Linked DNA regions of Arabidopsis thaliana. The protein of the gene in region 2 interacts with the protein of the main gene of each other region in a pairwise test. Each region holds a gene or a part of one and is shown on either strand. Other genes may lie near its edges.

The links. The genes of interacting proteins can lie anywhere in the genome.
Region 1: the proteins of ARFB1A (region 2) and PRS2 interact in a two-hybrid assay, tested with the Arabidopsis thaliana proteins (one large-scale study listed by BioGRID).

Annotation. Positions count from the first base shown.
Region 1 is NC_003070.9:11,680,149-11,685,069, forward strand, and holds PRS2 (phosphoribosyl pyrophosphate (PRPP) synthase 2), read left to right. Parts: upstream 1-1,585; 5' UTR 1,586-1,884; coding exon 1,885-2,028; exon of another isoform or gene 2,029-2,440; coding exon 2,441-2,605; intron 2,606-2,691; coding exon 2,692-2,940; intron 2,941-3,019; coding exon 3,020-3,163; intron 3,164-3,250; coding exon 3,251-3,418; intron 3,419-3,495; coding exon 3,496-3,565; intron 3,566-3,728; coding exon 3,729-3,810; intron 3,811-3,900; coding exon 3,901-4,081; 3' UTR 4,082-4,372; downstream 4,373-4,921. Other genes in the region: AT1G32375 (F-box/RNI-like/FBD-like domains-containing protein), read left to right, coding at 21-155, 253-531.
Region 2 is NC_003071.7:6,652,115-6,656,026, forward strand, and holds ARFB1A (ADP-ribosylation factor B1A), read left to right. Parts: upstream 1-1,548; 5' UTR 1,549-1,832; coding exon 1,833-1,980; intron 1,981-2,321; coding exon 2,322-2,392; intron 2,393-2,481; coding exon 2,482-2,601; intron 2,602-2,698; coding exon 2,699-2,817; intron 2,818-2,913; coding exon 2,914-3,073; 3' UTR 3,074-3,387; downstream 3,388-3,912. UniProt on the Arabidopsis thaliana protein: GTP-binding protein involved in protein trafficking; may modulate vesicle budding and uncoating within the Golgi apparatus.

The DNA of each region.
Region 1 (4,921 bases), on a different chromosome or scaffold from region 2:
ATGTAGTGTCTCTTATGCAGGATGCTTATCCTGTTGGTAGTGTCTTCCACTGTCTTGTACGTTTAACGATATGCACATGTGAGACAGAGTGGCTAAATCTACTTATGTGTGTACTCAGAGATTCCCCTAAATTACGAGAACTCAAACTTGTTAAGGTCTGCAGATCTAAACCTGAATTATTCAGTCTCTATGATATATCAGCATATATTTTCAGTAGAATAACAGTGTGATGATATCTTACTTTTATCTTAGAACCATGTCTATCGATCTCATCAACCGCGGCCGTGCTGGAATGAACCGAGTGCAGTTCCTGAATGTCTGTTGACAAGTCTTGAAACTCTCGAATGGGTAAAATATGAAGGAACAGAAGAAGAGAAAGAAGTAGCGGCATTCATCTTAAGAAGTGGAAGCTGTTTAAAGAAGGTGACTATCTCCTCTAAATCCACTGACATCAACAAGAAATTTGAGATGCTCAAGGAGTTGTCATTGTTGTTCAGGCGTTCACCTACATGTCAGATTGCATTCGACTGAAGTTTAGTTCAGTCTTCTTCATTAGTCAAGTTGGTCTGTGTTTGATCCAATCTTATAGACTTGTGTTTTCTCTTCTTAAAGAAACTAGTTTTCCCTAGAAACTTATGTTGCTCAAGTTTTTATTCTTTTGACGTTGTGTATTCTTATGTCTTATAACCCTTTTGAGTTTTTATCTTATTTAGCTCTGCTTCTCACTGCATATTCTTCGACAAGCGAAGAATGACGTTCTAAAATGGTCAATGAACTTAGAGACATTTTGGTCTTTTTGTTTAGTGTAATCCGTTATGAGCTTGGATTTAGGTAGATGGAAATATGAATTGACCACGTGTAATCATTTAGAGCAAAATGATATTGCAAATGGTCTAATGGACTCGGATACGCAAGAGGTCGTGGCAATGGCTAATCACATCTCCTTATATCTTTAATGTGTTAAATATGACATTGTGGCTTCTTATTATTATAACCCGTTTGCCTTTTCAGTTTCACACAAATGGCAACAAATCCTTATGGCTGCATATGTTTTCAATTTGGATCTCTTTAAACTCAAAACAAGTATTAAGGCAATCTCTATGATGTTTTGTAAGTACCTTGAAGAGGTCTTTTGTAAGTTGTAACCTTTTTTATGTAGGAGAAGAATCACATCTTCACCTTTTGAGTTTTTGACTTGTTCTTTCCAAAATTTGCACTTTTCAATTGTTGCAATGGCCAATATTAATGATGTGACCCAATCTATTTGTATAGCCGAAAGAACCCAAAATACAAATGGTTTTTTTTTTAAAAAAAGTTTTTTTGCTGAAAATATATTCTTTTTTTAGAAAATTTATGTTCATAATTAGTTATTGGAATCCTAAAGTGGCATGAAAAATGCTTAGAAACAAGTGGGCATTAGGAATCAGTATGAGATTCTTTAGAATTTGTGTTTGAAAACAATTTCTCTTTTCGACTCCTTCAATGTTAAGTCCTACATGACACGTAAGCTGTGAAAGCTACGAGCAGAGACGATTTTAGCCATCAACCAAACGACACCGTTTCTAAACAATATTTATTTTTGTATGTTTTTAGTGTAACAAAATTACAATTGAAAATTCCAAATTTCGAGAAAGAGAGAAGACCCATCGCCGCACCGCTTGAGTCACTCTTCTTCCCGGAGAAGAAAGAAACAACAACAAACATATTCACCATTACCTTCTTCTTCTCCTCCTTCTCCTTCGTTTCTCACTCCAAATTTGGAACCCTAAATCCTAATATCCTTCGATTAGTTCTCTTCTCTATCGGAATTCTTAACGTTGAGAGGAGTCTGATATTTGCCGTGACTCAAGAGATTCCAGGTGTTTCCGACGTATATATTTACATATGGCGTCGTTGGCTCTGACTTCTCCTCCCTCCGTTAAGATTCCTTCGTATCTCTCCTCGTCGTCTTCGTCTCTCTTCTCCCGTTCCTCGATTTCTTTCAGGACCACTGAGTCTCGCTCTCGAATCTGCGTTTCTGGTTACGCGGTGAGCATTGAGCATTTTTTTTCCTTCATGTTAATGAATGAATTCGATATTCACATTGCGTTTCATGTATTTGTTATAAGAAAATTCAAATTGTTTTTGGATGAATCTATGCTTTGATGATCTGTGAGATTTTTCTGGATTTAGTAGATGCTATTAGCAGTTCGTTTACAGGCTAATTTTGTGAGAATTTGTGTGTTGTCGTCGCTCTTGGCTTGACTTTGTCCATGTATGTGACTGTAGAATTTGGAATTTGGAACTTTCAGCTTTGGAATCTTGTGTGTTGAATACTGTTCATGAATGTTTGGTTATTCTTATGTTTGTAGAGAGATGTAAGAGAGATCGTGTGTTGGTTAAATTTTGTGTCTAACATTTTGAATTTGGTTTCACAATTCCTTGTCATTGTGTTTGATAGAAATGCAATTTGCCTAAGGCACTAAACGGGAACGCTCGTGTTCCAATTATTAATGAGACGACAATTCCTAAGTTCTTTGATTCTTCACGGTTGGAGAAATCGGTTAGTAGAAACAATACTAAGCTCAAGTTGTTCTCTGGTACTGCTAATCCAGCTTTATCTCAGGTAGTTTTCTCGAGACCTTTGGTTGTCTTTTTTAATCAAGTTTTCTTCTGGTGAAGTATATGCTAAACTCTTGGAATTTTGTGAAGGAAATTGCTTGGTATATGGGTCTGGAGCTTGGGAAGGTTAGCATAAAGAGATTTGCTGATGGAGAGATCTATGTTCAGCTCAAAGAAAGTGTTAGAGGTTGCGATGTCTTTTTGGTGCAGCCTACTTGCACTCCAACTAATGAGAATCTCATGGAGCTATTGATCATGGTGGATGCTTGCCGAAGAGCATCAGCTAAGAAAGTCACAGCTGTGATTCCGTATTTTGGATACGCAAGAGCTGATAGAAAGGTAGGTTCTTTTTGTCTTCTTCAATGGTAGATACAGTATGTCAAGTAATTTCATCTGATGTATCTATTGATGTTTTCAGACACAAGGGCGTGAATCTATTGCTGCCAAATTGGTAGCAAACCTTATAACAGAAGCCGGTGCAGATAGGGTTCTGGCTTGTGATCTTCATTCAGGACAATCCATGGGTTATTTTGACATACCAGTGGATCATGTCTATTGCCAGGTATCTTAAGTTTCAACCTTTTTGATAGACAAGCCTCTACTTTTTATGCAACCTTTAAAATCTTACACAATTGTGATTACATTTCAGCCTGTGATACTTGATTATCTTGCTAGCAAGTCAATTTCCTCTGAGGATTTGGTAGTGGTTTCTCCTGATGTTGGTGGAGTAGCCAGGGCACGTGCATTTGCTAAGAAATTATCTGATGCACCACTTGCCATTGTCGATAAAAGGCGTCACGGCCACAATGTCGCTGAGGTAAAAATTTAAATTTACCTTCATTTTATCCTTTCTACACGCAAGTTCTCATGTGTTGATAATACTCTTTCCCACAGGTCATGAACCTAATCGGTGATGTTAAAGGGAAGGTGGCAGTAATGGTGGATGATATTATTGATACAGCTGGTTAGTAAAAATTGCCAGAAACTCCTCTTTCCGTTGATATGTTTGTTATAAACAAAAGCTTCCAAACTCTAGGCCATAATCGAGATATTACTAAATAGAGATTATTCTGTGATTTGCAGGCCATACATTACTAAGAACCAGTTTTTTATCTTCTTATTTACAGGAACCATTGTGAAAGGAGCAGCTCTTTTACACGAGGAGGGTGCACGTGAGGTTTACGCTTGCTGTACACACGCTGTTTTCAGGTAAACCCATTAGCTTGAGTTTTACCAGTTCTTCTCCATTTTCGTTTATGAAACTAAGAGACCGTTTTCTTGAATGAATCAATGTCACAGTCCTCCTGCGATAGAGCGGTTATCAAGCGGTTTGCTGCAAGAAGTGATAGTGACGAATACTTTACCAGTAGCGGAGAAGAATTACTTCCCGCAGTTAACGATATTATCGGTGGCTAATCTTCTGGGTGAGACCATTTGGCGTGTCCATGATGATAGCTCCGTTAGTAGTATTTTCCTTTGATACTTGTTGGTTTTTGTTAATCGGTTTAGGATCGGTCTAAGTTCCTCTTTTTTGTTCTACTTCTTCTCGACAGTTTCTAGTCTAACCATGTCTTGCTTCTCTTACTCACCTAAAGTATGTCACAGTTCTATCTTTTCTTCTTTTTAGCATAATAGAGTTATGAGATATCAATGACAATAAAATTTTAATATTTTGGTTTATTGAAAATAATTACATTATGGTGTAAACATTATTTCTCAGGATTTATTGAGAATTTCTAAATTAACAATTTCCCCAACTTGCATATTTCTGGCAATAAATAGTTTTGGCATTTTATGAAATAAGTGACTAATTTTTATGGTTTAGTGTTCTTTCTTCGGTTAACCAATTTTTATTGCAAAAAAAAAGGAACAAATTAGGGTTTTATCAAGCCCGTCGTTGCATATAAATAGTCTTTTCATCGCCGCTTGAAACAGATAAGTGTTTCCTTCGTCTCTCTGTGGTCCGATATGTCTCCCTATAATCTCTGTTTCATAGTTTAATCATATTCTTTTGTGGTTTTGAATTCTTATGTTCGAAAATCTTGAGTAGTTGCTGTGATGTAACTACCGTGTGCCAGAGATGAAGTTATTCATCGTTGACGGCAAACATAACCTTAGAGTTCTAAGCTTTTCTTTTGTTCTATTTTTTGGTGTGTGGTCGAAGTGACGATAAAGAATTCACAGTCTGTCAATCCACTGACAACATTTGAGTGATGTTATTGTGATATCTCGACAGGTTCTGATCTACTCTTAATAAAAACCCTCCCAATGATTTTTTTTTATTAGATCATTAGTTTTGTTGAAAGTGGGGCAGATGATG
Region 2 (3,912 bases):
TAAAAGTATCATGGTATCTTTTGTTAGAGCATATCTAAGAAGCGCAGATATTGTCGCATGATAAGCCTGAAGTTACTAAATATACTCTCAAAGCCTACAAACCCATGTATCTTAGGATTTAATAGCAAGTTTAGATTCATTTAAGTTTAGATTCCTAGCAACTCTCCTTTTCTCTTATATGAAATCAATCTAAGAATCTTTGATCTTTGTGTTCTTAATTAATATTTCATTTTTCTTATGACTTCCTTTCATCTAAATAAAGCTTTGAATGTGGGATAAAAGGAAACTTTATTTTGTTTGTTGCTCTCGTCTTTTTTTTTTTTTTTTTTTTTCAAACCGATGTTAATTACTTTGAAAGTTTTATCTTATGTATTGGTTTTATTTTTCTTAAGCCACTTCTGGTTTTCATATACACTAGCACACCTCTACCTGATTTTTTCTTATAAATATATATCGTAAAGATGATAAAACAAGTAAATAAATGTAAAACAGTTGAACTTAAAAACTCTCAAATAATTTTAGTCACTTCAAGTAAAACGATTTCCAGTTAATTCTGACATTATGTGAATAAACTTAAGCTTTCCGTATATATTCATAGGAGAAATCTCAACATTTTCTTTAACAAAAAAAAAAAAAGAGAAATCTCAACATTTTTTGGATATGAAATAAATTAACTAAATGAATGATTTGTTGATATTAATTTGAAAAAAAATTGTCAACTACCTGAAGTTTAGCAAACCACATGGCCATCAATGCCAAGTATACTAGGATATTCAGCTAACTGAAGTATATGGATTGAATGACAATATATACGAAGTATACGATGTTATATGATCAACATTATAAATGGAGAATCTCAGGTTAACCGCTGGACTGATTCCGACGTTGACCAACAAAAATATTCAAAAATAATATTTCAATTTACTTTTAATATTAAAAAAATATATATTGTGTTGTATAATAATAATAAAATCTATATCCAATATAAATATATTTTGTATATATATTGAATGCATTAATTCTTATAATAGTTTGTTTTTCAATTTCAAAACTAAATTAAGAGTGTAATTTTTTTTAAGAAGTTATTTTTTTAATTAATAGTTATTTATATTATTAATTAAAAATATTAATTTCTTATTTCATTAAAGTTTTACTAAAATTTCAATTTTGAATTTTAAAAATTATCATACAAAATTTAGATTAAAAATTTATATACTCAAGTTTTTTGCATATCAGTTTCTAATGAAATCATATGTATTGGTTTTTTTATTCTAATGATTTATTTCTAATGAAAATAAGAAGTTAATATTTTTTTAATTGATCATCTTCCCTTACTTAATTGTTTCTAATAAGACTTATGCTCTGTTTTATTATTGCTTATCAAAAATCCGGTTTGATATTTTGTTCCATTTACCATCTTTATGCAATTCCAGTTTCGTGTCTTTCCTATGCACCTCTAATAATATTCCATATCGCTGGTGATGTACTCAAGGAATAAGATTCTGATATATGCTTCTAGAATGAGAAAGACAGAACACAGAATCTGACCAGTCCTGCTCTGTGTCCTAATGAGCTTTCGAGTTTGGAAAAGGACACAACATTACCTCTCTTCCTTAGGGAATTTATTCTTTTCCAGCCTTTCTTCTAATGGGACTTTGCCTTTTTGCTTGCCTTTACAATCTGCAAATCAAACTTTCAGTTATTTTTTCTTTTCTCTCATGTGTGTAAAATACTCTTCATAGATCTCATATAAGTCCAAGCTTGAATTGAAATATCAGAAGCTGTGTTTCTTTCACTGTATCTAAGATCCTTGTTTTTGTTTTTTGTTCTACATGGGAGCCAGATTTTCACGTATAGCGAAAAGGTTTCTTCCTAAAAGTAAAGTAAGGATTTTGATGGTTGGTCTTGATGGTTCAGGGAAGACTACCATCCTTTACAAGTTGAAGCTTGGAGAAGTTGTCACAACAGTGCCTACTATTGGTATGTGACATGGACTTTTCTTCTCTTGTTTTTTTGGTTCTGTTGAGACTTCTATCTATTGATTCTGAAGTTAGAGCAAGATGTTGATTCACTCTATATATCTATTTATTGAGGATTATGAAGGAAACTTTGTTTGGCTAGTTAGAACTGCTCCAACCATATATACTTTTGTGTATCTTTATTGTGGATCATAGCTCATGTGTAGATACTAGATCATAGTTACATTTTTATTTACCTTTGATTGTGTTTGCATTGGTGAGGAAGAATATTCTTAATAGCTTGATAAATCTCATATTGATGATTAACCTTTTTTGGTTTTTGGTTGTTTTGCGATTTTCCAGGTTTCAACCTCGAGACAGTAGAATACAAAGGCATCAATTTCACTGTATGGGATATAGGAGGACAAGAGAAGGTAAACTCCATTTTACTTCTCTATAAGTGCATATAAACACATATTTCTCTTCCTTTGCCTCTCCAGGCTTGACCTGTCCGGTTCAACAGATTCGCAAATTGTGGAGACACTATTTCCAGAACGCGCAGGGGCTCATCTTTGTAGTGGACAGCAGCGATAGTGAAAGGTTATCAGAAGCTCGAAACGAGCTGCATCGCATACTAACCGATGTAAAATTCATATGAAACTTTAAAATGTTACTTATTGTCTCCTCTTTTCTTTTTTTTAACCCTAACAACTTTCTTTATTGGTAAAAAAAATCCACAGAATGAACTAGAAGGTGCATGTGTACTTGTCTTTGCGAACAAGCAAGATTCGAGAAATGCTTTACCTGTAGCCGAGGTTGCCAACAAACTTGGTCTACACAGCCTATCCAAACGTTGTTGGTAATAATACTAAAAACTTCCTCTCGTGTTGGTTATATATATATTTAGAGGTAGAGGGATAAACAAAAACAATTTTTGTGATTGTGATTGGTGCAGGCTTATACAAGGAACCTCAGCTATCTCTGGGCAAGGATTATACGAAGGACTTGAGTGGCTATCGACAACAATCCCCAACAAACCCGAACGGTCTACTTCGGTTAGTAGTTTCCGGAGTGATTCCTATGAGAGGAAGCTGGTCCGAGGTCCGAGGTATTAAAAGGCTTTAAATGGTTACTCCAACGTAAAAAACAGAACGCACCAGAAAGGGCAAGTGTATTTTTGTACTAGCTTGTTTGGTATACGCTCTGATTCGTACGAGCAACCAAAATAGCTCTCTTCTGCGTTCTATATTTGTATGATTATGTTGTTTTGTTTTCAATGTTTCTCATTGAGAACCATATTTGACTATTACTCATATTATGGTGTGAATAAGGTTTTCTAGGGTATATATCTTTACGAGTTTACGTACACCCTTTACATGATGAATATTTTCTCGTTCTTACTTTAGAATTTAACATATTTTATTTTATTTTTGATAAGAATATAAATCTATATAATAATAACAATCTTAATAAATATTGCAGTTGTAAACAATTGTGTTTTTTTTTGTTATTGCAACTTTTCGTTAAAATAATTTTTTCTGTTTTAAACTAAAAACATATATTTTACGGTTATATTTTCTTAGAAAATTGCAATTCGTATAAATGCATATTACTGAATAAAATTAAGAAAGCAATAACAAAATTATGTAAATTATGTTATAAAGACACAATTGCAAAAGACATTTATTCGGATTACTATTATTATATCAAAAATATTACAACAGTTCAAAAAATAAACCGAAAATTACAATGGTTCGTCAGGTAAACTAAATATTGCAATAGTTTAATGAAACAGTTGCAAAATGTATCTCAATATTTGTTTTAATGGTTAAAAATTAAACAATATTATGAAAAGTTATACCAAGAGATACGATCGTATATGTTAAATATACCGAAAGTTGCAATAGTTCATCAAATAAACTAAAAGCTACAACGGTTCATAAAACAAAATCAA